Linked DNA regions of Stegostoma tigrinum. The protein of the gene in region 3 purifies or fractionates together with the protein of the main gene of each other region. This does not show direct contact. Links are inferred from orthologs where the notes say so. Each region holds a gene or a part of one and is shown on either strand. Other genes may lie near its edges. The genes, in order: mphosph6, dis3l, exosc9 and exosc10.

Region 1 (7,789 bases), on a different chromosome or scaffold from region 3:
GATGATAGAGCTCAAAATTTCAGAGCAAACAACAAAACAAAAGCATGTGCAACTTCTTCAGGCAGAAATGTCAAGTGAGTGTTCCATCTTGACCTCTTGCTATTCTCTTGACCGCAAGGAGGGCAAAAAAGATTTATCAGACTACTTACTGGAGCTTGACATATGGGGCACTATCACCTAACTGTAACAAAAACTTTATAGGGAACTTATGAAATTAAAATAACTTTGTCAGTGTCAATGATGCTGTCTAACCCCTGCCTTAAGTATGCATTGGTTGCAGAAGGCCTCATGTACATTATTGTACTCTTGCTCCATCTCAAGGGACACTCAGGCGTGGACGTAACCTTGGAAGATAGGCAGAGTAAACAACCCTCTTGATTGCCTGATAACAAAGTGTGGAGCTGGACGAACATAGCAGGCCAAGCAGCATCTCAGTAACACAAAACCTGACATTTCGGGCCTAGACCCTTCATCAGAGAGGGGGATGGGGAGAGGGAACTGGAATAAATAGGTAGAGAGGGGGAGGTGGACTGAAGATGGAGAGAAAAGAAGATAGGTGAAGAGGAGAGTATAAGTGAGGAGGTAGGGAGGGGATAGGTCAGTCCAGGAAAGACGGACAGGTCAAGGAGGCGGGATGAGGTGGTAGGTAGGAAATGGAGGTGTGGCTTGAGTTTGGAGGAAGGGATGGGTGAGAGGAAGAACAGGTTAGGGAAGCGGAGACAGGCTGGGCTGGTTTTGGGATGCAGTGGGGGGAGGGGAAGAACTGGGCTGGTTTTGGGATGTAGTGGAGGAAGGGGAGATTTTGAAGCTTGTAAAGTCCACATTGACACCATTGGGCTGCAGGATTCCCAAGCTGAATATGAGTTGCTGTTCCTGCAACCTTCGGGTGGCATCATTGTGGCACTGCAGGAGGCCCATAACGGACATGTCGTCTGAGGAATGGGAGGGGGAGTTAAAATGGTTCGCGACTGGGAGGTGCAGTTGTTTGTTGCGAACCGAGCGGAGGTGTTCTGCAAAGTGGTCCCCTAGCCTCCGCTTGGTTTCCACAATGTAGAGGGAGCCACACCGGGTACAATGGATGCAATATACCACATTGGCAGATGTGCAGGTGAACCTCTGCTTGATATGGAAGGACATCTTGAGGCCTGGGATAGGGGTGAGGGAGGAGGTGTGGGGGCAAGTGTAGCACTTCCTGCGGTTGCAGGGAAAGATGCCGGGTGTGGTGGGTTTGGAGGGCAGTGTGGAGCGGACAAGGGAGTCGCGGAGAGAGTGATCTCTCTGGAAGGCAGACAAGGGTGGGGATGGAAAAATGGCTTGGGTGGTGGGGTTGGATTGTAGATGGCGGAAGTGTCAGAGGATGATGCGTTGTATCTGGAGGTTGGTGGGGTGGTATGTGAGAACGAGGGGGATCCTCTTTGGGCGGTTGTGGCGGGGGAGGGGTGTGAGGGATGTGTTGCGGGAAATGCGGGAGGTACGGTCAAGGGCGTTCTCAACCACTGCGGGGGGAAAGTTGCGGTCCTGGAAGAACGTGGACATCTGGGATGTGCGGGAGTGGAATGCCTCATCCTGGGAGCAGATGCGGCGGAGGTGGAGGAATTGGGAAATGGGGATGGAATTTTTGCAGTAGGGTGGGTGGGAGGAGGTGTATTCTAGGTAGCTGTAGGAGTCAGTGGGCTTGAAATGGACATCAGTTTCTAGCTGGTTACCTGAGATGGAGACTAAGAGGTCCAGGAACGTGAGGGATGTGTTGGAGATGGCCCAGGTGAACTTGAGGTTGGGGTGGAAGGTGTTGGTGACGAGGATGAACTGTTCGAGCTCCTCTGGGGAGCAAGAGGTGGCACCGATACAGTCATCAATGTAACGGAGGAAGAGGTGGGGTTTGGGGTCTGTGTAGGTGTGGAAGAGGGACTGTTCCATGTAACCTCCAAAGAGGCAGGCAGAGCTTGGGCCCATGCGGGTACCCATGGCCACCCCCTTTGTCTGTAGGTGGTGGGAGGAATCGAAAGAGAAGTTGTTGAGGGTGAGGACGAGTTCGGCTAGGTTCCTCTTGACTGCCTGTTGCCTGGACTGTTCGCAAAACTGTTCCCAATCTTCCAAACACAGTCTGAATAAGGCTTTGAACAGCTGAAACAGAAGTTTTACCCCATTAGCCATGGGAAATACAGGGTTACAGGCAAAAGGTAGGAGGGTGGTGGTGGATCTTGGTGGGAAGCTCTTCCAAAGGTCGGCGTGGACTTAGTGGGCCGAATGGCTTATTTCCACATTGGAGGTGTTCTATAAATAACCTGAAATGATAATGGGGGCATCAAGCAGGTGACAACGTCAAGAAGTCAGCGTGAGAGAAAAATGCAACTCTACGTTTTGAGAAAGTAAACTTTTTGGTCCAGCAGTTGTCAACATTAAGATTTCCTGCCAATCAAAACTGCTGGTGTGTGCAGGAGGGGAAAGGAGGTAATACCACGAGTGAATTAATCAACCTCCACTGCTCCTCCTGTTGCTGCCGCCATTGCCCGGGGCCTACAGTCCAACATCGAGACGCGAAAATTACGAGTTGGAGATAGTAAGTACTGCCGATGCTGGAGTCAAAGGTAACACAGTGTGGAGCTGGATGAACACAGCAGGCTAGGCAGCAGCAAAGGAGCAGGAAAGTTTCGGAACAAAGAACAGAAGTTGCTGGAAAAGCTCAGGCAGCATCTGTGAAGGAAAAATAAAAATCAGAATTAACGCGGTGACCCTTCCTCAGAAAGTTTCGGGCCTGGACCCTTCTTCAGAAAAGAAGGTTTCAGAAAACCCACGAGTAGGCCTCGGGAGTTCAAACTTACCTTCATTTTCAGCAGGTTTTTCGATAATTTCATAGCGCTCTCTCTCGCCATTTTTGTGTGTGTTTTTTTTTGTTTATCTTTTTCTTGATTGTTTGGAGGAGGAATCGAAGAAACGCAAAAAGCGAAATAGACACCACACACCAGATTCGCCGGCGCTTCCTCCGTCCCGGGCAACACGTTGACAACGGACGCGACCAATCGATCGGACGAGTCCCAGCCGCTGCAGCCTGGCTAATCAATGGCCGGAAGCAGGATGCGGAGCTGTCCAACTGCTGCAAGATCTTCGCACAGGATGGCTCACCATCCAGCTCAGAGACAGCGGAGCTGACAGAGCAAAGTAAATTGTCCTGAGTATTTTTGTCAGCTGCCTCTTTTTCTTATCCGCAAACAGAAGACATACTCCCTAGAATCTGAAATAAAATGCTTGAAATCTGAAACAAGGGCAGAAATTGCTGGGCAAGTTCTGAAGAAGGGTCACCATATCATCATAACAAAGTGTGGAGCTGGATGAACACAGCCGGCCAAGCAGCATCTCAGGAGCACAAAAGCTGACGTTTCGGGCCGAGACCCTTCATCAGAGAATTGTTATCTTTGTTATCTTGGATTCTCCAGCATCTGCAGTTCCCATTATCACTCACCTTATCATCATGTCCTCTCTCCCCTGCCCCCACCCCCACCCCAGTGGGACTGACTGTTCCCCCCAATCTGGCAGTTGGACACATTATTGTTCTGCCATTCTCACATCCTGATCACTTAATCTGAACTATCAACATCTTTTCTCCCCCAGCGCCCTACACGCCAACTCCCACCCCCAACCAATGCATAAATCCTGCCCCCTCCACACTTCAGTCAGCTCTATTGAAGATTCAAAACATTATATATTCTCTCTCCATGGATGCTTCCTGACCCACGGTAATCTCCAGCATTTGTTTTTGTGTTCAGTTCTGAAGAAGGGTCACTGGATTGGAAACAGTCATTCTGCTTCTCTCTCCATAATTCCTTGAAAGTGAGGTCACAGGTGGGTAGGATAATAAAGAAGGCGTTTGGTGTACTTGCCTTTATTGGTCAGTCCATTGAGTATAGAAGTTGGGAGGTCATGTTGTGGCTGTAGAGGACATCGATTAGGCCACTTTTGCAATACTGCATTCAATTCTGGTCTCCCTACCATAGGAAGGATGTTGTAAAACTTGAAAGGGTTCAGAAAAGATTTACAAAGATGTTACTAGAGTTGGAAGGTTTGAGCTATAGGGAGAGGCTGAATAGACTGGGGTTATTTTCCATGGAGCATCAGGGGCTGAGGGGTGACCTTAAGCGGCATATAAAATCATGAGGGGCATGGCTAGGGTAAATCGACAGGATCTTTTCCCAAGGGTGGGAGAGTCCAAAACTAGAGGGCATAGGTTTAAAGTGAGAGGGGAAAGATTTGCTGCCACACCTGCTGAGTTTCTCCAGAAATTTCTGTTTTTCTCTCTTATAACCTGTATGTTTAAAACATTATTGTAACTGTTTGATGATTGGTAGACCCAAAAGGGTGCTAATCCTTCATCATAACTTCTATTACTTTCCAGATTATACTCCTATTGTACCCAACTGTTGTATGAAATAAGACAGTGAATGTGATTGATTGAGATGGAAATAATCAGACCAGCATGGAAAATGGAAAAAAAGTACAAAAGATTAGAGACTACAAAAAAAATCCCGCACCCCCACAAAAAAGGAGCAGGTGTAGGCACTGCAGCTTATCATTTAAGAGCAAAATAAACTCTAAGAATATATATTTATGGAAAATTTTGAAAGGAGCCTGATTGATATTGTTGAGAAGGGTCTAAAAAGATTTAACTACACTATTCAAGGGACATTGCTTTTGAAAATTAATGTTTGGTTATGAGAGAAGTAAATCCATGAAAGAACAACTGTCCGTAATCCTAAAGGAGTGAGCTTGATTGGCACAATGACTTTAGCTTGCAGCTTTCTGTATGCAACATTGGCCATTATAAAGCTTTTATCAATGCATCTTTAAAATGAACAACTTGTTGCCAAGGAGGGTATGAGACTAGCTGAGCAATATCTCTGACTTTTTTTTCTAGGAAGGAAGGGGTATCTCCATTCAGCAACTCCCACAGCAAATCTACATTTAATTGCACCATGGCATCATATATTGTTGTACACATTGATCAATATTCTGCAGTTGGTAATGAACCAGGGGCACTTGCCACTGACACTGAAAGTGCACAAGGATTGGCGATACATGTGATATCAGTTTCCCCTTCCCTTGTCAGAGTAATGGAATCTCTTGGCATGCTGCAACTTTGATTTAAGCAAGTAAGTAAGCACCCTTGCTGACCAGCAAGACAAGCTGCCTGGTAGAATGACTGCGCTAATTGATATGGCAAGACAACTGAGGGCCAAGCAAGGTATGGGTGTTGTTAGCATGCAGGTACCTGCTAAATGAGTGAATACTACAAGCAAAAGAGCAGCCCTGAGATACAGTGTAGTCCACTCCATGAGTCGATTGCCTGTGTGTGTACACAAAAAGTTCTTGCAGCAGTGTTTCAATGTTAGTTGCCCAGTGCACCCCGCAGCAAGTCTGTGCTTCCTAGAGGATAACAGGCTTGCTTGGAAGGAGCTCAAAAGTGGACTGAGGAGTGCCAGGAGGGGGCACGATAAAGGTTTGGCAGGAAGGATTAGGGAGAACCCGAAGGCATTTTACTCATACGTGAGGAATAAGAGAATGATCAGGGAGAAGGTAGGGCCGATCAGGGATAGCGTAGGGAACTTGTGCGTGGAGTCTGAGCAGATAGGGGAAGCCCTAAATGAGTTTTTTGCTTCGGTTTTCACTAAGGAAAGGGACCTTGTTGTGAATGAGAACTTTGAGGAGCAGGAAAACAGGCTTGAACAGATCAAGATTGAGGAAGTTGATGTGCTGGAAATTTTGGCAAACATTAAGATTGATAAGTCCCCAGGGCCAGACCAGATTTATCTTAGGTTTCTCCGGGTAGCGAGAAGGGAGGTTGCTAAGCCGCTGGCGAAGATCTTTGCTTCCTCACTCTCCACGGGAGTCGTACCGGAAGATTAGAGGGAGGCAAATGTTGTTCCTCTTTTCAAGAAAGGGAATAGGGAAATCCCTGGAAATTACAGTCCAGTCAGTCTTATGTCTGTGGTCAGCAAGGTTTTGGAAAGAATTCTGAGGGTTAGGATTTATGACTATTTGGAAAAGCATAGCATGATTAAAGGAAGTCAGCATGGCTTTGTGAGGGGCAGGTCATGCCTTACAAATCTTATTGAGTTCTTTGAGGAAGTCACGAGACAGGTTGACGAGGGTCGAGCAGTGGATGTGGTGTACATGGACTTCAGCAAGGCATTTGATAAGGTTCCCCACGGCAGGCTCATTCATAACGTCAGGAGGTATGGGATACAGGGCAATTTGGCTGTCTGGATTCAGAATTGGTTGGCTGACAGGAGGCAGAGAGTGGTTGTAGATGGTAAGTATTCTGCTTGGAGGTCAGTGCTGAGTGGTGTCCCACAAGGCTCTGTTCTTGGGCCTCTACTCTTTGTAGTTTTTATAAATAACTTGGATGAGAAGGTTGAGGGGTGGGTTAGTATGTTTGCTGATGACACAAAGGTTGGAGGTGCCGTTGATAGTATTGAGGCCTATTGCAGTCTTCAGCGAGACATTGACAGTATGCAGTGCTGGGCTGAGAAATGGCAGATGAAGCTCAACCCGGATAAATGCGAAGTGATGCATTTTGGAAGGTCAAACTTAAATGCTGAATATAGGATTAACGGCAGGATTCTCGGCAGTGTGGAGGAACAGCGGGATCTTGGTGTTCAAGTGCATAGCTCCCTCAAAGTTGCCACCCAGGTGGATAAGGCTGTTAAGAAAGCAGATGGTGTTTTGGCTTTCAGTAACAGGGGGATCGAGTTCAAGAGCCGCGAGGTTATGCTGCAGCTCTACAAAATCCTGTTGAGACCACACTTGGAATATTGTGTCCAGTTCTGGTCGCCCTATTATAGGAAAGATGTGGAGGCTTTGGAGAGGGTGCAAAGGAGGTTTACCAGGATTCTGCCTGGACTGGAGGGCTTGTCTTACGGGAGAGGTTGACTGAGCTCGGACTTTTCTCTCTAGAGAGAAGGAGGAGGAGAGGTGACCTGATCGAGGTGTACAAGGTAATGAGAGGAATGGATAGAGTCAGTAGCCAGAGACTTTTCCTCAGGGCAGGATTGACTGCCACGAGGGGTCATAGTTTTAAGGTGTTAGGGGGAAGGTATAGAGGAGATGTCAGAGGGAGGTTCTTCACGCAGACAGTTGTGAGCGCATGGAATAGTTTACCAGTGGTAGTCGTGGAAGCGGAGTCATTAGTGACATTTAAGCGACTGCTGGACATGCACGTGGACAGCAGTGAATTGAGGGGAATGTAGGTTAGGTTATTTTATTTTGGATTAGGATTATTCCATGGCACAACATCGTGGGCCGAAGGGCCTGTACTGTGCTGTACTTTTCTATGTTCTATGTTCTATGTTGTATGTTCCAAGCAGCCGACAAGTGGATTGGAGAGGCGCCATGATGAACACAAAGAGTTGGCAAATGTCCAATGCCAATGTCCATGGATAAGGGATGCATGTGACTGGAACCCATGGACCATCCCCTGAGATGCCATTTGGTGCTAAGCAACCTGGAGGCATGGAGCAACAGTGAGCTGAAATCACCAAGTACCTGCTCCAAAGCCCATGTTAAGATTTCTTAATGTCTAGCTTGTTCAGCACATTTGCAGTGCTAGGAAGCTAGTTGAGGTGAGTTGGGTCATGAACAAGGCATTTGAAAAGCAACAACCCCCTTAACTGGAAACTTGCCACTGTCTTAGTATAAAACTTGCCTTGATACACAAAAGATGCAGCAAGATGCTGCTGACATCGAGACAAGCCTCTGATTCTGTCACAAATTTCACCATGTAATATTCCACACTATG
Region 2 (7,291 bases), on a different chromosome or scaffold from region 3:
TTACCTTCTTTGGCCATGCACTGAGTACAGCATTCGTGTACATCATGGTGCAGCTGTACAGGATATTGGTGAGGCCACTTTCAGAATATTGCATTCAATTCTGGTCTTCCTGTTATAGGAAAGATGTTGTTAAATTTGATAAGGTTCAAAAAAGATTTGTAAGGATGTTGCTGGGATTGGAGGGTTGGAGCTATAAGGTGAAGCTGAATAGGCTGGAGTATTTTCCTCTGTACCGCTGGAGGCTGAGAAGTGACTTTATAGAGGTTTATAAAATCATGAGGGGCATGGATAGGGTGAAAGGCCAAGGTCTTTTTCCCAGGGTAAGGGAGTCCAAAATTGAGGACATAGGTTTAAAGTGAGAGAGGAAAGATGCAAAAGGGATCCAAGGGGCAACTTTTTCACTCATAGGGTGGTGCGTGTATGAAATGTGCTGCCAGAGGAGGTGGGTGAGTTGAGTACAATAACAACATTTACAAGGCATATGGATGGGTACATGAATTGCAAGTGTTTAGAGGGATATGGGCCAAATGTTAGCAAATGGAATTAGATCAGTTTAGGATATCTGGTTGGCACAGACAAGTTGATCCAAGGTATCTGTTTCTGTGCTGTATAACTCTATAGCTCCATAAATTTAAAGCACTGCAAAACAGTAGTCATGCACCTAGGATCCTTCCACGAGCTTATCAATAAAGAAATATTGTACAGGAATTCTCCAGAGTTTCCCCTCCGATCACAGCATTTATTGGTCTACTGCAGTTTATGGAGGAGAGTTTGTGATTTGCCAGATGATATAACAACATCAACATACTTAACCACATATGAGAACAAGAAAACAGCATCTATATAATTCTGTACAAAGGTAGAATGCCTTCAAGTAATAGTTAGTTAGTTTTCATTATAATTACCGGGAGGTTTGAGGTCACTCCAACTATAAACCTCAGGACATAAATATCAGAGATAGTAGGAACTGCAGATGCTGGAGAATCTGAGACAACAAGGTGTAGAGCTGGATGAACACAGCAAGCCAAGCAGCATCATAGGAGCTCTGCTGCTCCTATGATGCTGCTTGGCCTGCTGTGTTCATCCAGCTCGATACCTTGGACCTAAATATCAGCTGTTTCCTTTATCATTTTGTGAACTTCTTTCACCCTTGAAAACCTGCTGCTTTTAGTTCACTGGGAACTTGTCACATTCTGACCTGTTTGCTGGTGTTGCCTTCACCTTCAAATTGCATTTGGAAGTGGAAGAACACAATGTTGATCTTTCTACAGTTAGTCAACAAATGCACCATGTTTGTCACAGGCCATATCAGCCCTCAGTCAGTTGGCCATTGACAACAGACATGCTGATTTTACACCAAATATGTATTGTTGCAAACTGCTGTTATTCACTGCAAGTAATTTTAAAAATCAAGATAAAAATCAAATATTACAGAAACCAAAAGAACTGCAGACACTGTAAGTCAGAAACAGAAGCTCTGGCCTTTTCTTTGCAGATGCTGCCAGACCTGCTGAGCTTTTCCTGCAACTTCTGTTTTTGATCAAATATTATGAGTTACAAATCACAGGCCATAGTTAAATAATCATAGTGCTCAAGCTTTAACTGTTTGATTCAGTAACTGACCAGTGCTTTGCGTGATCTTTAAATCCATCAAATATTAAAGATAGATAGCCATCACAAACCTGCGTCCCTTCTGGTGTTGGACAGCCTGACAAGCTGTCTGCATGAAGACAATGCCTCTCAATTCTGGAAACTCAAGTATCTCCAAATAATCCTGCACCACTTTCCAGTCAGGTATCACATAATGAGTTGCACTTTCTGACAACAATTTCCCTTCTGAAACATTAAGTTAACGCAGAATTAAGCAAGTAGCATAAAAGACAGTACGTTAGTTGCAAAAGTAACACTGATATTCAGGTGAGATATTTAGTTACTATTTCAATGTTCATATGAAAATAAAAGATCCCATGGCACTATTAGAAGAAACAAGGAGCTCTCTCAATATCCTGGGCAGTATTTTCCCTCAACTAACCTCAGTTGCAGATTGTCCAATTACATCTGAGAGATATTTCTAAGTGAGAATTTACTTGCATACTCACTGTACTTCAAACTTAATTCAATTGTATATATCTTTGGGATGTTCACAGGAAATGAAAGATATATAAAATTCCTTCTATATTAGGAGTTCAGTTCTATCCTCATCCTGAATATTTTTGAGTATTATTTTATTCAATTTTTACAATGTCAACTGTGGTTCAATAGGTAGCATTATCTCACCTCTGAGTCAGGAGGTTGTATGTTCAAGTCCCACATCAGAAGCTCGACTACTCAATCCAGGCCGACACTCCCAGTACAGTACTTGAGAAAGTGCTGCACTGTCAGAGGTGTCATCTTTCAGGTGGATATAAAAGATCCCACAAGCTCTACTTCACAGAACAGCAGGGAAGTTCTCCCTGCCATCGTGGCCAATATCTATGTTCAATCAACATCGGGAAGAGATTTTCTGGACAGGAACTGCTGTTTTGGGATCTTGTTGAGTGCAAATTGGCTGCTGTGTTTCCTACATCAGTGGCCACATTTCTAAGTACTTCATTGGTTATAAAACACTTTGAAACCGCCAGAAAAATGTGATATAAATGCAATATTTTCTTTTCTCCATGAGTTTTAATATCGTTGAGAGTTCTGCTTTGTAGATGACTGTACCCGCTCGGCCATACTTTACCATTGTAGCACTCAGCCTGGCACAGGGAACTGTTACAGGGAACCGACTGCCTGAGGTAATGCTCCCTCACAACTCGAACTGATTTCCCTTTGCAGCTCCTCAGGTGCAGCACCTTCTCCGTTTTTATCATTACACTGTTGTAAACAAGCGGAGGAGCCATTAAGCGATTACTTTTCTTCTCGAACTCAATTCTCCGACAAGCCCCAGGAAGACCACGCTCCGCGGATGTAAACAACTCGAACAAACACCTCCTGCCTTCCTAGCGCCCATTTTCCGCCCGCCTCAACCTGACAGCTTCCCCCGCGTGTGAACCGGAAATGTAATTCGGTGCTGCGGGGCAAAGGGTTGCACTGCGGGGCAAAGTGATGGACTAGGAGCGCATGCGCAAACTGAACTGCTCCTTGCAATCTGAATGTGTTACACATTTCCAAATAAAAGGTAACAAGATGTAGAGCAGGATGAACACAGCAGGCCAAGCTGCATCAGAGGAGCAGGAAGGCTGACGTTTCTGAAAAGAGGTCTAGGCCCGAAACGTCAGCTTTCCTGCTTCTCTGATGCTGCTTGGCGCTGTGCTCATCCAGTTCTACACCTTGTTATTTCAGATTCTCCAGCATCTGCAGTTCCTGCTATCTCCACGTAAAGGTAACCTACTGTTTGTGTGCTTGACTGTTAACATGAAACAAATCACCCCACTTTAACGAATTTCAGATCTGTCTGTTTCTTTTTGATTATATTACTCCCTTTTTAGAGAAAGTACTTTCCTACATTAGCAACTCTGCTCAGAATTGGGTCTCACTGAATATCGGGGAGTTTCTCGACTTTGTAGCAAACTGATCTCTTGATCGCAATACATAGCCTTGAAGATGTCGAAGATTCTCACACGGTATTCAATGTTACTGCAGGAAGATGCCACTCGGAGATTTGCAGTAAAAAATGTCGAATAAACTGGTTGAAAATCCATGAATCATTCTAGAGATAACATTAGATCTAAATAAAAGTGGAATGTATAAACAAAAGAGGTAATATCATTAGGATACTTTATGCTCCTAGTACGAGTCTTAAATAATTATGTGACTGAGGGAGTTCTGTGCATATGTGCTTACATGAATCTCCAGACCTCCATTCTCGGTGATTACGGTTTCTTAGAAGGGAAAAAATTGCGTTCCTCTCATGTAATAATGATTATAATTTCTTTTTCAAATTTGGACTGGAACTTTCTAGATGCTATTAATTTAAATACAATGGCTGTCCAAAGAGACTTGGGGTGCATAGAGTCATACAACACGAAAAAAACCCTTTAGTCCGCCCCCTGCCTGGGTTTCCGAAACTGAAACAGTTCCATTTACCCGAGCTTAAAACGCAATGAACACGTACAGAGAATAATGAAGAAAGCTAACGGCATGCTAACATTTAAAACCAGCGGACTGGAGAATAAGATGGCAGAAGTTATGTTGCTGTTATACTGGTTCGACCCCAGTTGGAATACTGTGAGCAGATCTGCGCACAACACCTGAGGAAGGATATCTTCGCCTTGGAGGGAGTACAACATAGGTATACAAGAATGAAACCTGGACCAGTGGCTACTATATGAGGAAAGATTAGACAAATTAGGCCTTTTTTTCCAGAATTTGGAAGATTAGGAGTGATCCCATTGAAGTCTTCAATATATTAACTAGAAAAGACAGGGTAGGTCAAGATATTGCCCTGGTCAGTGATTCGAGAACCAGAGGACATAGGCTGAGAATTAGGGCCAGACCGTTCAGGGGAGATGGTGGAAAACACTTGCACACACAAAGAATGGTAGAGGTTTGGAACTCTCCTCCATAAACTGCAGTGGATCAATTGTTATTTTTAGATGCATTTTTATTCAGCAAAGATATTAAGGGACAAAGGCCAAAAGGAGTTAAGCTATACAGCAGCCATGATCTCATTGAACAGAACAGCCCGAATGGCCTACTCCTGTTCCTATATTTCCAAGTTCATAACAGACACAAGCTGAACTGCCTTAAGTGTAAATCATGGCATGAAATGCTACTCTTGGGTGGTTTCAGTTACTTTCGATATTCAGGTCAAGTTTGATTCCCAAATCATGTCGCTACGCTTACCTCATACAACACCTTAAACATCTTCACATCAGTACCAGTCTTACATCAAAAGCTGTGATCAGAGATAATGGGGACTGCAGGTGCTGGAGAAACCAGGACAACAAAGTGTGGAGCTGGATGAACACAGCAGGTCAAGCAGCATCTCAGGAGCACAAAAGCTGACGTTTCAGGCCTAGACTCTTCATCAGAAAAGAGGGATGGGGAGAGGGTTCTGGAATAAATAGGGAGAGAGGGGGAGGTGGACCGAAGATGGAGAGAAATGGAGATAGGTGGAGAGGAGAGAATAGGTAGGGAGGGGATAGGTCAGTCCAGGGAAGACAGACAGGTCAAGGAGGTGGGATGAGGTTAGTAGGTAGGAAATGGAGGTGTGGCTTGAGGTGGGAGGAAGGGATAGGTGAGAGGAAGAACAGGTTAGGGAGGTGGGGATAAGCTGGGCTGGTTTTGGGATGCAGTGGGCAGAGGGGACGAGCTGGGCTGGTTTTGGGATGCAGTGGGGGAAGGGGAGATTTTGAAGCTTGTGAAGTCCACATTGATACCATTGGGCTGCAGGGTTCCCAAGCAGAATATGAGTTGCTGTTCCTGCAACCTTCAGGTGGCATCATTGTGGCACTGCAGGAGGCCCATGATGGACATGCCATCTAAAGAATGGGAGAAGGAGATAAAACGGTTCGTGACTGGGAGGTGCAGTTGTTTATTGTGAACCGAGCTGAGGTGTTCTGCAAAGCGGTCCCCAAGCCTCTGCTTGGTTTAGTCTGCCTTCCGGAGAGACCACCCTCTCTGTGACTCCCTTGTTCGCTCCACACTCCCCTCCAACACCACCACACCCGACACCTTCCCCTGCAACCGCAGGAAGTGCTACACTTGCCCCCACACCTCCTCCCTCACCACCATCCCAGGCCCCAAGATGACTTTCCATATTAAGCAGAGGTTCACCTGCACATCTGCCAATGTGGTATACTGTATCCACTGTTCCCGGTGTGGCTTCCTCTACATTGGGGAAACCAAGTGGAGGCTTGGGGACCGCTTTGCAGAACACCTCCACTCAGTTCGCAATAAACAACTGCACCTCCCAGTCACAAACCATTTTATCTCCTTCTCCCATTCCTTAGACGACATGTCCATCATGAGCCTCCTGCAGTGCCACAATGATGCCACCCGAAGGTTGCAGGAACAGCAACTCATATTCTGCTTGGGAACCCTGCAGCCCAATGGTATCAATGTGGACTTCACCAGCTTCAAAATCTCCCCTTCCCCCACTGCATCCCAAAACCAGCCCAGCTTGTCTCCTCCCCCCACTGCAACCCAAAACCAGCCCAACTTATCCCCACCTCCCTAACCTGTTCTTCCTCTCACCTATCCCTTCCTCCCACCGCAAGCCGCACCTCCATTTCCTACCTACTAACCTCATCCCACTTCCTTGACCTGCCCGTCTTCCCTGGACTGACCTACCCCTTGCCTACCTATTCTCTCCTCTCCACCTATCTCTTTTTCTCTCCATCTTCAGTCCACCTCCCCTTCTGTCCCTATTTATTCCAGAACCCTCTCCCCATCCCCCTTTTCTGATGAAGGGTCTAAGCCCGAAACGTCAGCTTTTGTGCTCCTGAGATGCTGCTTGACCTGCTGGGTTCATCCAACTCCACACTTTGTTGTCTTACATCAAAAGCTTATGGCTCAATCTTACTAGAAAATACAGTAGAAAGCAATGAACTGAAATATTCAAACGTACAAAGATTGGTTTAATTGAAGGCACGGTTTCTTTTTCTTGAATTAAGTAGAGCTTTACTCAGAATTTGGACCATTTCATGATGCTTGATGTAAAATTGACATCAAAGAGAATTGTTTCCCAGCATTAACGACCTGCATCCCTCACATTCTGAAAAACAAAACCTTGGTGTCGTGGAACTGCCAGCACATATCTCCCATCCCAATAAAAATGTGTACGTTGCTTCTAAACTTCTAAAAATCGTCAATCTTTCTTTAAAAATAATTTGTACTAACCCTAAGCTGTCATGGTTCTTTCTCCACATCTTTAATGGAGCAAAACAAAAGGGGCAGATGCGCTAACTATACTTGCAGGTGCAAGAAAACACCACAGCAGTCCGCTCATTCATGTTGTGAAATAACTGGGGCTCCCGAAATGTTGCCCTATGAATGGTTAGTTTTCTTTGTTAGGTAAATTAGCGTCGATTTTGTCTGGCAGATCACATGCAGCAAATCGATCAGCATCTGAGCCAGAAGGAAAGGTTAATTTTCTTGATGATCCTGACCACACAGATAACCTTTCTTTCTCTGTGAAGTGATGATTGATGGACGTGCTGGACACTTTCAGGGCTGAATGGTTCCCTTTAATTTCAAATCATAAACGACTGAGGGCGCTGCTGGTTCGGAATTGTGCACCTTTCGTTGAAGATCAAGCAAATCCATTGAAATGGATATAACTTCTTCAGAAAGTAACATGTGCATG
Region 3 (7,591 bases):
ATAGCCACATACTTCTCCTTGCATTCGAACCAGTCCTGCCCTCACTCTAATTCTAAAAAGCTAGCCACCGGGATAGCATCTCTCAAGTTCAGGAGGTGGTGGTGGTGGTGGTGGTGGTGGTGGGGGGGGGGGGCCTCCTAGTGGCTGACGTCACCTACAGGAACGCTCCCCTGAGGCTGATCAATGTGTACGTCCCAGCGGTACGGAGTGAGCGGTTGGCCGTCCTGCAGCGGCTTCCACCCCTGCTGGCTACGTCCAGGCCGGTCATCCTGGGCGGAGACTTCAACTGCATCATCGATGCAGATGGAAGATCCGGCATGGGGACAGCGGGTGGGGGGAGTCAACTGGACGTCACGATTCCTGATGGACACGGTGAAGGACGCCAAGCTGGTCGACGTCTTCAGCACCCCTGCAGACGGAGCGCAGCGGAGGTATACCTGGTCGCGGCGTCTCCAAATTGGGGTTCGGGCAGGGCATCCGCAATTAGATCCGGCTGCTCTACACCAACATCGTTAGCGCAGTCTCGATCAACGGGTGGGAATCGGACAGTTTTCCCGTCAGATCTGGAGTCAGGCAGGGCTGCCCGCTCTCTCCTGCCTCGTTCGTGTGCTGTGTGGAGCCCTTCGCGCATCCATCAGGAAGGACGTGAGCCTGAAGGGCGTGACTATCCCAGGCAGCGGAGGCCTTCAGATCAAGACCTCCCTGTACATAGACGATGTCGCCGTCTTCTGCACCGATCGTCGGTCGGTGAGTAGACTGTTGGACATCTGCGGCCAGTTTGAACTGGCCTCGGCTGCCAAAGTCAATAGGGGTAAGAGCGAGGTCATGTTCTTCGGGAACTGGGACGACTGCTCCTTCATCCCCTTCACCGTCAGGACAGACTACCTGAAGGTGCTGGGTGTTTGGTCTGGTGGAGCTGGGGCGTGCACTAAGACTTGGGAGGAGCGTACCACCAAATTGAAGCAGAAGCTGGGCAGGTGGATGCTCCGGTCCCTCTCCATCGCGGGTAAGAACCTGGTTGTCAGGTGTGAGGGTCTTTCGGTACTGTTGTATGTGGCGCAGGCCTGGCCTATTCCCTGGACCTGCGCCACTGCGGTCACCCGGGCCATCTTCCACTTCGTTTGAGGGTCGAGGATGGACCAGGTCGGCAGGGACACCATGTACAAAGACCTGGAAAACAGGGGAAAGGGCGTCCCAAACGCCACCCTCGCTCTGACGGCTACCTTTGTGTGCGGCTGCATCAAGCTGTGCATAGATCCTCAGTACGCAAACACCAAGTGTCACTACTTACTGAGGTTCTACCTGTCCCCGGTGTTGCGAAGGATGGGCCTGGCCTCGTAGCCGCGGTATGCTCCGAGTAGTTGGACCGTCCCGTACCACCTGTCCTTCGTGGAGAAATTTTTGAAGGGAAACACCTTTGACCACAAGGCCGTCAGGCAGTGGTCAGCACGTAGTGTCCTCGAGACCCTTCAGGAAAAGGAGAGGGTGGATCCCGTCGTGTGGTTCCCAATGCAGAATGCCTCATCGCCAGAACTTTCAAACAAGCACAAGGACGTTGCTTGGCTGGCGGTGAGAGGGGCTCTGCCAGTGAGATCCTTTATGCATGCCCGGAATCTCTGCGCCACCGCACGCTGCCCTCGAGGTGGCTGTGGGGGGGACGAGACTGTCGATCACCTCCTTCTGGAGTGTGCCTATGCGCAGGAGGTCTGCAGGGGGATGCAGTGGTATTTGTCGAGGTTCGTCCCGAGCAGCTCCGTGACGCGGGACTCCGTGCTCTACGGGCTGTTTCCCGGGACGCACACCGAGACCAACATCAACTGCGCCTGGAGGACCATCAATGCGGTGAAAGACGCTCTTTGGTCTGCCCGCAACTTGCTGGTCTGCCAGCTGGAAGAACTGACCCCGACTGAGTGTTGCAGGCTGGCGCACTCCAAGGTCCAGGACTACGTGCTGAGGGACGCGCTAAAGCTTGGGGCAGCCGCCGCCAAGGCGCAGTGGGGAAAGACCACCATATGAGACCCCTCATCCAGAATAGAAAAAAGGGCCCTATCTGGTAACTGGGCCCAGCTGGCACCTTCCCCAACTGGTCAGGGGCCAACGGGGACTGCGCAGGGAGGTGACTGCCAGGCTATTTTCTTTGCTTTTTTTTTCTTTGTTTTGTTTTTTGCCTTTAGTTGGTGTACGTACCCCCTGGGTAAACCGGAGCGGCTTGCATGACTGGGTAGGTGTATAAATAGGTTTTATTTTTTTGTACATCTTATGAATAAAGTATATTTTTTCAAATTTTAAAAAAAAGTGACGAAACGTCTAAAACTAACCTTCCAGCTCAGCGAGCAAACTCACATCCAGAACCTCAACCTGAGCTACAAATCTTCTCAAAACTCGCTATACAGCCCAATGCTCATGCCAACACAACATCCCATTTCATCTCCACTCCTTCACTGTGTATTGGTACATGCCTGTGCAGACGAGGTCCTACTACCTCACAATGGAACACCCCGGCACCGGCACACCGCACCACATCCCCCACTCCCCAAAACAGGGCCCTAAAACAGACTCAAGTGTCCGACGTCAACAAAAACTGATGCTCAGCACATTGGGCTGAGATTTAAAAACTGGATCCTCGCTCGTTTAATACCTGTTTCTCGGCGAGAGCCTGAAGAATAAATTGTCTCTCACAATTTGATAACGGAATCTCCCTCATTTCGAAACGGCCACTACCTCGAGACTTTACAGATTTAGAGATTCCGGCGCTGCCATGACATCATCAACCTGCGACTCAAAACCAAGACGCGTCCGAGCCTCTCAGCGCGAAAGTGACGAGTCGCTGTCCACGGACATCACTGGAGCAGTGATCAGGAGTTCGGCCGGGATAGTGATCAGGAAAGCTTAGTATGGAGCTATGCAAGAGCTAGGGCTGGGATAGTGATCAGGAGCTGGATATGGATCATGACCAAAGATAGGGTTGGAGCAGCGAGCAGGAGCTGCGATTGAGACGCTGGGCATAGCAGTAACGACCAGGAGGTGCTTTTAGAAAAGTGGGCGTGTGCTAGAAAAGTGTCATTAAGTTTGGTCGAGTTCAGGGCAGGGGCTTGGAATGGTACAGTGGGCAGGAGTTGGGGAATGGGACACTGAACAGCAGCTGGGAATGGAAGTGTGCAGGTGCTTGGAATGCAGTAGCAAGATTGAATTGTGAATAGAATGATGAGCAGGAGCAGGAAATGGGAATAGAACAGTGAGCAGGAGCTGGACATGAGACAGTGGTCAGGGCCTGTTTCCACACTGTTGGGATTCTATGAAAAAGTTCTTACATAAACTACACAAATCTTTTGGGTACATTTTCATGGAGGAAAATGTTAAAATCCTCCTAGAAGTAATGATGAATCTAGGGGTTTGTGTAAATGATGTACTACAAGATATTACTATCACATTAAAAAGAAAAATAGAGAACTTAATGGAATTTCAAATGTAGGTATGCCCAGGTTCAGATGATCTATATCACAGACAGTTGAAAGAGGTGACTGTAAAAGTAGTAGATGATTTGTGGTCATCTTTCAAAATTCTGAGACTCTAGAATCAATGCTGCAGATTTGAAGTTGCCATATGTAACCCTACAATTCAAGAAAGGAAGGAGATAGAATGTGGGGAACCTGTTAGCTCAACAGCATCAGTATTAAGGAAAATGCTAAAATCTGTAATAAAGAATACGATAACAAGACAGTTAAAATGTAATGGTTAGACTGGGCAGAGTCAGCATGGATTTATGAAAGGTACATCATTGTTGCCAAACTAGTTGGAGCTTCTTCAATATGTAGCTGTCAGAATAGATAAAGGGGTACTGGTATTTATTGTCTATTTAAATTTCTGGAAGGCTTTCAATAAAGTCTCACACAGGAGGTGTAAACAAAATTAGAGCGCATGATATAGGGGACAAATACAGACATGCATTGTGAACTGATTAAGACAGAAAACAGATTAGAAACGCTCATTTTTGTGTTGGCACATTGTGAGCAGTGAGGTACTGCAAGGATTAGTATTTGGCCCCAGCTATTTATAAGAAATATTCATGATTTTGGATCTGTGGATTAAATGTAATATTTCCAAGTCTGAAGATGACTTATAATGAAGATGCGCTTCAGGGGGATTTAAAGAGGCCAATTGAGTGATCAAAAATTCAGTGGATGGAATATAATGTAGAGAAATTTGAAGTTATACGATTTGGTATGGGTATGAAGTCATACTCCACAAAGGAGCCTTTTCATTGCTTTTCATTCGAGTGCAACAATTAGTTATGTTTAATTTGAGGGTACCACACTACAGCATGGAGTAAGGTAAGCAAGCAGGCAGGCCTCCAAGAGCAATCCAATTTGGTAGAAAACTAAAACGCAGAATATATCTTCAAAGGTCAGAAGTTGGGAAGCATTGAACTTCAGAAGGATCTGTCCTTGTTCATGAATCACTGAAAGTTAACATGCTGGTATAACAAGCAACTGAGAAGAAAAATGGTAATTTTGGCCTTTATTAGAAGAGGAATTGAATATAAGAGTAACAATGTCTAACTGCAATAATATCAAGCCTTGGTGAGGGCTCTTGTGACAGTGTCAGTGTCTCTACCTCTGGCCAAATCTAGGTTCAAATACCACCTGCCTGGATGGAGTGTCATAACTTATCCAAACAGGTTGATTAGGCTTACTATCGGGCTTTGGTGAGACCACACTTTGGAGTATGAGAATGACTGCATAATGCTTGATTAGTCTGTGCGGACAGCTTTCCCAATTTTGACAGAGTTCCTGAGTTAATGAGGAGTGCTTGACAGATTGATTGGGCAGGGTATGTCAATGTCATGTTTGTATCCATTGCTAATATCTGGCAGCTCGTTCAGCTTTATTCTCTCCAGATCTGCCAGTCAGTGGTGAGTCTATTTTAATTGTGCAATCAAAAAAGAACTCAGTGCCCCCAGAGACTATATTTCTTGTCCCAGTTTCATGAGTGAGCCTAGGATAAACCCTGTAGTAAAGATTTATAGGCAGTGCAGAAGAACTGAAGCACATGCCCCTTGTGACTGGGAAAGTCTATAAAGGTTGAAAATAGCAATATAGAAACTAGGAGAAAGAGTAGACTATTCAGTCCTTTCAGCCTATTCTACCATTCATGGCTTGATTGTCTATCTTAACCACAAATTCCTGCTTTCTCTACATACCCCTTTATGCCTTTAATATATAAAAAAAATCTCCTTGAATATACTCAGTGACCTGGCATTTACAGCCTTCTGTGATAGCAAATTCCACAGGTTCACCACTCTTTAGTGAAGAAATGTTTCCTCAATGTCAGTCCAAAAAGGATCTACCCCTGGTCCTGAGATTGATCCCCAGCCACAGTAAACATCCTCCTTCAGTCTAATCAGTCCTCCCTGACAGAATTTTATACATTTCAATTGGATCCCCTCTCATTCTTCTAAACTGTAGCGAACATGGGTTCTGTTGAATCAATCTCAACTCATATAACAGTCCAGCCAACATGGGTATCAGTTAAGTGGACATTTGCTGCACTCCATCCCTGGCAAATGTACCTTTTCCTAGGTAGGGAGACCAAAACTGCATACAATACTCCAGATAATAAAATGTGAGGCTGGATGAACACAGCAGGCCAAGCAGCATCTCAGGAGCACAAAAGCTGACGTTTCGGGCCTAGACCCTTCATCAGAGAGGGGGATGGGGGGAGGGAACTGGAATAAATAGGGAGAGAGGGGGAGGCGGACCGCCCCTCTCTCCCTATTTATTCCAGTTCCCTCCCCCCATCCCCCTCTCTGATGAAGGGTCTAGGCCCGAAACGTCAGCTTTTGTGCTCCTGAGATGCTGCTTGGCCTGCTGTGTTCATCCAGCCTCACATTTTATTATCTTGGAATCTCCAGCATCTGCAGTTCCCATTATCTCTGATACTACAATACTCCAGATGTCATTTCATCAAGTCCCTGCATGACTGCAGTAAGACAACTACTTCTGAACTCAAGTTCTCTTAAAATGAATATATCACTTGCTTTCCTAATTGCTTGCTTGCTACACCTGCCTGTTTATTTTCACTGGTACAAGGACACCCAGATCCCTTTGTACATCCACATTTCCCAATGTCATCACTGAAATAAAATTCTGCCTGTGTATTCTCACACCAAAGTGTATAACTTCACATTTATCCACGTTATGTTGCATCTGCCATATGTTTACCCACAAGCATCCCAAGTTTCATCAGTTAGCCGACTGTTTCAAAGTTTTCTGGCATTCCTGAACTACGCAGGTTTTAAAATTGTTTTGTTTTCTTTTACACTTTATGTTACATAACAATTGTATGTTACTTAGCTACTTGCATGCAGAAAATGTCAGTATAATGGGTGTTCCAGAAGCAAAGGACTCATAATCTCACAGATGAAGATCTAAATAGGCTTCTGAGTGAAGCAAAAGTGAGACATCACTGTATCCTTGGAAACAGAAAAACAAAAGTATTCAAGAAAATAAGCAACTTAGCTTGAAGGTAGTACAAGAAATGTGTGAAACAATGCCACATTAAACTAAACAAATTGGGGTGATCTGCCACAGTATGTACATAAAATTTCTTGTTAAAAACTATCACTCCGACTTGAGCACTGAAGACACAAAAAATGAGTTTTTTTTTAACTCGTTTTACAAAGTTGTATACTGTAGCTTCTTTGGAGGTGAATCTGACTTTAACATTAATAGTTATTTCTAATTTGAATCCTTTTTGAGAGTAGCCTATAATCAGTATTCACAAAATATTGCATATAAGAACACAGAAGGAGCCAGCATCATTTTTAAAATTTTGATTTGTTTGTTTAAGGGAAGATGTGTTGTGCTCACAAATGCTCTGTGGGTGATGTGTCATTCATAAAGAATCTTTCTGAACAGGCAGAATGTACTAGGTAGCTTTTAGTGATTTCCAAGCCCATACTTTCCCAATAGTCAATTGGATGTGAGTTCAAGCTAAGGTGATGTTGTCAGCAGCAGAGTTCAGTTATATGATGAATAGAATGTGAATGTTTTTCTCTGACAGGTCCATGTTGTCCCTGGACATCTAAGGTGTTGATGAAGGTGAGCTGTAGGCTGTGTCTGAGGGTCTTGATAGGATTGCTGCAGAAGAAAGGGAGCCAAGATTTCAGAGTATTGATATTTTTAATCAAACTGTTAAGACTTGTAATGAGAGACAGCGGCACTTGAACCTGGACATGGAATTCTGTAATTTAATGAGGCAATCATGACATTTCCACGGGTCCAATTCTAGATTTTTTTTATTATTAACTTGTTCAGATGTTTGGAGCAGGTGGGACTTAAACCTGATCCTTCCTGCTCAGAGGTAGGGACATTACCACTGCACCACAAGAGTCCCAGGAAGCCAGTATGTACAACAGTACTAGAGGTGGATGTCAACTATCACATAATGGATCAAGAATATGAGAAATCTATGTGCAAAGGCAACGGTGATCGTGCTGACGAGATTCTGGTCTTCATTTAAACTTTTAGGTTGTCAAAGGTGGTGATATCTGTGACGCTATGGCCACTGCAGAAGAAAAGCCATCAGAAAT
Region 4 (7,634 bases), on a different chromosome or scaffold from region 3:
TATTTTCTGTAGATGACTCCACAAGTGAATGATTCGAAAATTTATTAAAATGCAGGATTCCAACTCAGGTGCCACGGAAACGACAGAACCAGCAAGCATGTAAAACAAAATGGAAAGTAATTTAACATACAGCAGGTCACAAAATATTTGTAAAGGAAATGTTGATATTTCAGGCTCAGCCAAACATCAGATCCATTGATGGGCAAAAACCTGTATAAAAAATGTGATAGTAGTAAATAAAGCTTGCATTCATTTAGAGACTTTCATGGCCTCGGAAAGCCACAAGATGCCCAATGAGATCTCAGGGTTCAAGTGCATAGATTTTGAAAATACTCTGAACAGGTGCAGAAAATAGTCAAGAAGCCTTATCCAAGACGGCAGTGGAGCAGGGCTCCTGAGCCGCAGCTCGTCAGCTCCGACTGCTTCTCTTTCTTCCTTTCTCACATTTTCCTTTTTATAGTTTTTTTTTCTTTACTTACCTTCTGGAGGGAGCTTGGTCATGGAGGGAGCAGCAGCATTGGCAGCTGTTGGGAGGCCTGAGTGGGTCTTTGGCAGTTGGCCAAGATGCGGTTGGCATGCCCAGGCAAAACTGTGGTGATTGGTGGCATCGCGGAAGCAGCTGCGGTCCCAGAGAAGCACCGAAGTGGGACACTGGTGACCTGTGACGTGGATGACAACTTGGAGGCATGGGATTGAGAGACTGAGCCCTTGCAGGGAACACCCAGCATGGAGTGACTGCAGGCCCCTGGCTAAAGAAGGATTGTAAATTGAACTTTTAACTTTATTTTTTATTTACTACTTTATACTGACAAGAACTGTAATGTTGAATTTTTAACTTAATTCTTTATTTTTCTACTTTTTACCTAAAATTTTGTAGCTAGGCACCCTGTACCTAAGGTGGCACTGTGAATGTCTCACTGTACTCCTGTTTCCCTGTACTTGAGTACATGTGATGATAATATCTAATTCTATTGGAATGCTGGCTTTCAGATCTAAAGTGCTGGAGTATAGAGATGACAACGTTATGCTGTAGTTAGAACCCACTTACACTACTGTGAACTGATCTGGGGACTACACCTTAGGAAGGATGTTTTGGTCCTTGAGAGAACTCAATGCAGGTTTATAAGGATGATATCCGAACTTCAGGGAGTAAGTTGCAAGGACAGAAATTAGATTCTCTGGAATTTAGATGGTTAAAAGATGATCTAATCAGATATTAACTAGGAAAAGCAGGGTAGACAAAGACAAACTATTTCCAATGATGGGAGATTCTAGAATTAAGGGTTATAGCCTAAAAATTAGGAGGTGTTAGAAAATACTTTGGTGTGGGCAAATCACCACAAATTTCCCTTAATTCAGCTACTTTAAGAAATCTAACAGACAATCAAGTACCGAAACAATGATTTAAACGTTGTTCCACACAGTAACCAAAACAACCTGCCTAAAGTAAGCAAATTAAACCTCACAACTCTTGGCTATTACCTGATTAATGGTGGAATTTAGCTACAATCCAACCAACAATGTCTGTCTCTGGAAGCAGCCAGGGTTCGATGCTTGTGCAGTGTTGTCCTTTGAAGTTCTGCTGATAAATAGTTCTGGTGTTAGATTCTTATACAGATTCTCATCCTTCAGGACCACGATGTAATAGTATTGATGATTCTTTCATCCAAAGTATTACAAATCTGCAGCCTGTGTTATTATCAAAAGTAGCTTCCCCATTCCATGTTACATTTGGTATTAATTTTCAGGTTGAAGACACAGCTTTCCTGTATATAACTCATTAAATTCTTCTGCAATGCAATCAGTTCTCCGTAAGGTTTGACTCAGCCATTCATCATGCAATTGACAAAACAGTTTTGTTTATGTAACTTCAACTCCTCTCACAGACATGGCTAATTGCTTTCAAAACTGTACAAGTTTGGTGGAGCATCCCCCAGTGGAGAGCAGCAAGATGCTGGGCGGAGACATCTTGATGCATCATCCCGCAGTGGAAGCTCTTAACCCGGGTCCCCCACCAAATATTATATTTCACAAGCTTCAAAATATCCTCTCCCCCGACCACATGCCAAAACCAGCCCAACTAGTCCCCACCTCCCTAACCATTCCTCCCACCTCAAGCCCCACCCCATCCCCTACCCACTAACCTCATCCCGCCCCCTGACCTGCCCGTCCTCCCTGGACTGACCTATCCCCCCCCAACTCCCCACCTACATTCACCTTCACTGGCTCTAACCCCGTCTCTTTGACCTGTCTGTTTCCTCTCACCCTATCTTCTCCTTTATCAATCTTCTATCCGCCTCCCCCCGTCTCCCTATTTATTTCAGAGTCCCCTTCCCCTCCCCCATTTCTGAAGAAGGGTCCTGACCTGAAACGTCAAGCTTTCCTGTTCCTCTGATGCTGCTTGGCCCGCTGTGTTCAGCCAGCTTCACATCGTGTTAGCTCTGATTCTCCAGCATCAGCAGTTCCTACTATCTCTGTGACAAGTTTTTTCTTCATTTCAGTTTATTTCAGACACCATTATTGCTGCTTCTTTCCATGTATAATTAATCTTTGTTGATTCTTTCAATCCACGAATAGTTATTAAAGTTCTCAAGGTTGATTTGAATTATTAGTCAACTGTGCAAAGGTACAGTGAAAAGTATTGTTTTGCATTGCTAACCAGACTAATGCCTTACATAAGTACATCATGGTATTAGAACAGAATGCATAATATAGTGTTACTGTTACAGAGAAAGTGCAGAGAAAGATCACCTGTAATATATGAGAGATTAGTTCATAAGTCTGTTAACAATAGGGAAAAAGGTTTCAAACTTCTGTATTTTCTACCCAATAGAAGAGCATGGAAGAGAGAATAAATCACTGTTGGGGAGTGTCTCTAATTATTTTGGCTGCTTTCCCAAAACAGCGGGAAGTGTGGATGGACTCAATGAATGGAAGGCTGGTTTTCATGATGGACTGGACCGCAATTACAACCCTGTTTTTTTTGCGGCCTTGGGCAGAGCAGTTGCCATGTCAACCTATGATGAGTCCAGATAGAATGCTTTCTATGGTGCATCTATAAAAATTGGTAAGTCATTAATGGACATGCAGAATTTCCTTAGCCTTCTGAGGAACTAGAGGCATTGGTGTGCTTTCTTGACTGAGGCAATGACGTGGATGGACCAGGACAGATTATTTGTGATATTCACTCCTGGGAACTTGAAACTCTTGACCACCTCCACCTCAGTACTATTAACACAGACAGGGATGTGTCCTCTGCTGTGCTTCCTAAAGTCAATGGCCAACTCCTTGGTTTTACTGCTATTGAAGCAGAAAATGTTGTATTTACACCAGATCACTAAGCTGTCTATCACTTGTCTGTACTGTCTCAGCATTGAGATCTGACCCGTGAGGGTGATGTCATCAGCAAGTTTGTAAACAAAGTGAGAGCTGTTTATGATATCACAACTTCAACATGCGAGGGTTCGTGGAGGTTTGGAACTCTCTGCCCAAAACAGTGGTTAATGCTAATTCAATTGTAAATTTAAATCTGAAACTATTTTTTTCAAGTAAGGGTAATGAGGAAATATGGGCGCAAGCCGAGTAGTTGAGTTAGGGCACATGCCAGCCATAATCTTATTGAATGATGGAGCAGGCTTGGAGCCTGACTGGCCTACTCCTGTTCCTACGTTCACCATATCAGATTCTTTGGATTGTTAGCCAAGGAATAGGTTTTGCTGCTCAGATCACTCACGAGAGCTTCTAGCTCCACTTACAACACTAGCATTGCAGGTTTCAAGAACCTCACATTCAGAAGACAGCATCTCCAATAATCAAAGAATCATTACAGTGTGGAACAGGCCCTTCAGCCAAACAAGTCCACACCAACCCTTGGAGCATCCCAACCAGACACATCCCCCTAAAAACCCATCTAATCTACAAATCTCTGAACACTATGGGGCAATTTAGCATGGCCAATCCACCTAGCCTGCACGTCTTTGGACTGTGAGAGGAACCGGAGCGCCCGGAGGAAACCCACCCAGACACCGGCAGAATGTGCGAACTCTGCAACGACAGCCACCTGAGGGTGGAATCGAACCCGGGTCCCTGGCGCTGTGAGGCAGCGGTGCTAACCACTGAGCCACTGTGCTGCCCCAAACGCAGCACTGCCACGGAACAGTGAGCACCAGGGAAATGTGATCAGGGAATGGGTCAGCACGCACAGGGGCCAGGCTGGAGACCACATTCTTTCCGATCAGGCTGTTTGGAGCTGCGTGAACACAGCAGTCCCAGCAGCATCAGAGGAGCAGGAAAGCTGATCTGGACCCTTTTTCCTCTGTTTGAGAGACATTATTTACACACCTCTGGAGAAGGACAGACTTGAGCTTCTTGGCTCAGATGTGGGAACACTACCACCATGGCACAGGCACATTGCACCAGGGCTCTCCAACACGCGCCTCCTCAGTCAGCGCGGGATTGTCCTCCACGTGACGCGCCGACACCACGTGACGCGCCAGTCTGCGCCCGCCCACGTATTGTCCCCACGTGCCAGCCGCCAGCCGGGGCGGCTCAGTCCCTTCCGCTGGGGGGCGTGGTTAGGCATTTCCCGAGCCTCGCGAGAGTCTCTCCCTCTCCGTCCCACCCCTGCGCGAGAGTTTGTCAGTCGGCAAAATGGCGGCGCAGGGCTGTGCGGAGGAGCATCAGGATCCGGGAGAGAGGCCTCTCAACGGTGACGGCCCCATCCCGGGATTTAGTGACGCGGATAGCTTCGTGAAGGTTGGCGCTGTTGTATGCGGGTGCTGGGGGCGGGATCCCTGTCTCTTCTCCTTCCTTCGTGTGTTCTTCAACACGGAGGAGACATCATCAGCCCAGGGAGGGCGATGGGAGGCCGTCATTAAGATGTGTTCTCTCTCTTGCTGGATCTGTTGCCACGAGACATCATGTGCCTTCACTTCTTCGCCCCCCCCGACTGTATGCACTGTGCTGCCGTCCGACCAGGAGAGCACAACAGGGATGGTCATGAGCGATACATAAATGAAACGTGTAGAGCTGGATGAACACATCAGGCCAAGCAGCATCAGAGGAGCAGGAAAGCTGCTGTTTCTGGTCTGGGCCCTTCTTCAGAAATGACACCTTGTTATCTCAGACTCTCCAGCATCTGCAGTTCCTACTATCTCTGATCAGGCAGCAGCTCAAGATTGGGACGTGACTTTGGCCGTTTCAATTTCTCTGCCCTCGAACCCCACTCCCCTCCCCCACCAAGAACTGACTGCAATTTGTGTTCTCCAATTCAGTCCTGACTTTGTAGTCTAGCCATTGTGGTGCTGCTGTTGTCTGGCATGCTGAGCACTAGCTCTCAGGTGCCTTCCTTCTCCCTCTGGACCATAAGTCTTCCATCCAACATTGGGCTATTGTATTCACAACAGTCATTAACCTTATAAACCAAAAAAAATTGTGGTTGCTGTAAATCAAGAATGAGAACAGAAGGTGCCAGAAAAGCACAGCAGGTCAGGCAGTGTCTGTGAAGCAAAGAATCAGAGTTGATGTTTTGGGTCCATTGACTCTTCCTCAGAACTGATGGTAGCTAGGTTAATGTCGGAGATAGGTTGGATTTGGTGAGGGAGGCAGAGAAATTGAGGTGTCAATATCACGTTGACAGTTCTCCAGGAACAGATCAAACTTAGGTAAAAGACCAGACTGGGCGAAGGGGAGAAGACGCTTGTCTAAAGAAATGGGCATGGAGGCGAAGATGGCAGAAGAAGAGTTTGACGTCATGTCGTGCCTCAAGTTTGTTAAGGTTGGGATACAGAGGAATAAAACTGAGGCCTTTGCTGTGTGCAGAGCATTTAGCATCGGAGATTGGAAGGTTAGGAGGAATGGTGAATACACCTACCTCCTCATACCTCTTTCCAAAAAACCACAAACTGGACTGTCTGGGCAGACCCCTTGTTTCAACCTGCTCCTGCCCTACAGAACTCATCTGTACCTACCTTGACCTAGTCTTCTCTCCCCAGGTTTAATCCCTGCCCACATACATCCATGATACCTCTGACACAGATATACCAACCAGTTCCCAGCTGCGTTCAGTTCTGAAGAAGGGTCATTGAACCGAAAATGTTAACTCTGCTTTCTCTCATCGATGCTGCCAGGACTGAGTTTTCCCAGCAATTTCTATTTTTGTTGTCAATAATTGTGCCGAGGTATAAACTAAATAATTTGTCCTTATCGAAATCGTTAACCCAAGTATTGATTGTCAAGCTGTCATCAGAAAACAGTGTTGGAATTTGTTTTTCAGTCACTTCTTTTTAGTGATTTCATCTAATTGAGCAATTGACTGGGTTAGTTCCAAGAGCAGTCAAGAAGCAACCATGTTTGTGGAATTGAAATTGCATGCAAATTATCCTCAGTAAACATAAACTCCCTTTATTTGTTCAATGGGCTGTGTGTGGTGTTAGTGTCTGGTTGAACTGCTGCACTCAGTGGAGGGGAGGAAGTTAATTACATGCTTAATGGTAGTCTTGCTTCTCTGTTACTGGGATTAGTTTTATATCCCCGATCTATCAATTGATTTTAAATCCACTTAAACCCAAGCCTATGTCTGTGTTTTTGGATTTCTACTCCGCTGATGTTATCATTACACCATCTCTGCCTCAAAGTGATGCCAGAAATACTTTGACTTACTGTAATTGTTTACATTATAAATTATATACAAAACAACAGAGATCATTTCTGACATTTAGTTTATTTCCAACTCCGAGTTCATTTTCTGCTTTTTGAGAGGCAATTGATTGTCATTTGAATCTGAGATCAACTTCCTTCTCATCACCCTATAATTAATAGTGTCTAGCTGAAACCGCTTTGATTTTGTTCTGCTTTATTTTCCACACACATACAAAATAGGAGCAGCATGGGGCCAAAGTGTGGAACTGGAGGAACACAGCAGACTAGGCAGCATCAGAGGAACATCTGAAGAAGGGTTCTGACCCCAAAAGTCAACTTTCCTGCTCATTTGATGCTGCCTGGCCTGCTGTGTTCCTCCAACTCCACATTTTGTTATCTCTGACTCCAGCATCTGCAGTTCTTGCTATTCCAGCAACGCAGTGCCATTTGGCACCTCAACCCTGCTGTCCATTTCAATAACATCATAGCTCATCTGTTTATGTTTTGAATCTGTTTTCCCACTTACTTCCACTAACTTTGAGTTCTTGTAAGGTAAGAAAATCAATCTGTCCCTGCCTTAAAGATATTCAGTGCTCCCACTTACACCAACTTCTGAGACAGAGTTCCAAGTTGTTAAACACTCAAGAGAACAAAATTCTTCTCGTCTGTCCGAAAAGGATAACTCATAATTTTTAAATTCATATCACCTAATTCTCAATTTTCCTACTAGAAGAAATATCATTTCAACATCGATTTTGTCAAGAATATTCACTACTTACCCTTCTAAATTCCAGTCAAAACAAGCCCAGCCTATCCTCATAAGACAACCCACTTCTACCAGGTATCAATCTAGTAAATCTTGCCAAACTACTTCCAGCAGATTTATATTACTCCTCAAATAAGAATACCAAAACGGCACATGGTTTTGAAAAAACAAGGTGTAGAGCTGGATGAACACAGCAGGCCAAGCAGGATCAGAGCAGCAGGAAAGCTGA

What was found.
Region 1: the proteins of exosc9 (region 3) and mphosph6 purify together in Homo sapiens (affinity purification with mass spectrometry; 5 studies listed by BioGRID and IntAct, with this or other methods). This does not show direct contact. The link is inferred for Stegostoma tigrinum from reciprocal best matches to the Homo sapiens genes EXOSC9 and MPHOSPH6.
Region 2: the proteins of exosc9 (region 3) and dis3l purify together in Homo sapiens (affinity purification with mass spectrometry; 3 studies listed by BioGRID and IntAct, with this or other methods). This does not show direct contact. The link is inferred for Stegostoma tigrinum from reciprocal best matches to the Homo sapiens genes EXOSC9 and DIS3L.
Region 4: the proteins of exosc9 (region 3) and exosc10 purify together in Homo sapiens (co-immunoprecipitation; 7 studies listed by BioGRID and IntAct, with this or other methods). This does not show direct contact. The link is inferred for Stegostoma tigrinum from reciprocal best matches to the Homo sapiens genes EXOSC9 and EXOSC10.

The regions. Positions count from the first base shown.
Region 1 is NC_081369.1:46,663,137-46,670,925, forward strand, and holds the start of mphosph6 (M-phase phosphoprotein 6), read right to left. Parts: upstream 3,010-7,789; 5' UTR 2,874-3,009; coding exon 2,823-2,873; intron 1-2,822. UniProt on the Homo sapiens protein: RNA-binding protein that associates with the RNA exosome complex. Involved in the 3'-processing of the 7S pre-RNA to the mature 5.8S rRNA and play a role in recruiting the RNA exosome complex to pre-rRNA; this function may include C1D.
Region 2 is NC_081386.1:34,950,594-34,957,884, forward strand, and holds the start of dis3l (DIS3-like exonuclease 1), read right to left. Parts: upstream 3,013-7,291; 5' UTR 2,883-3,012; coding exon 2,723-2,882; exon of another isoform or gene 2,278-2,722; intron 1,837-2,277; coding exon 1,683-1,836; intron 1-1,682. UniProt on the Homo sapiens protein: Catalytic component of the RNA exosome complex which has 3'->5' exoribonuclease activity and participates in a multitude of cellular RNA processing and degradation events.
Region 3 is NC_081354.1:36,852,839-36,860,429, forward strand, and holds the start of exosc9 (exosome complex component RRP45), read right to left. Parts: upstream 3,007-7,591; 5' UTR 2,705-3,006; coding exon 2,639-2,704; intron 1-2,638. UniProt on the Homo sapiens protein: Non-catalytic component of the RNA exosome complex which has 3'->5' exoribonuclease activity and participates in a multitude of cellular RNA processing and degradation events.
Region 4 is NC_081381.1:39,422,223-39,429,856, forward strand, and holds the start of exosc10 (exosome component 10), read left to right. Parts: upstream 1-4,627; 5' UTR 4,628-4,650; coding exon 4,651-4,755; intron 4,756-7,634. UniProt on the Homo sapiens protein: Catalytic component of the RNA exosome complex which has 3'->5' exoribonuclease activity and participates in a multitude of cellular RNA processing and degradation events.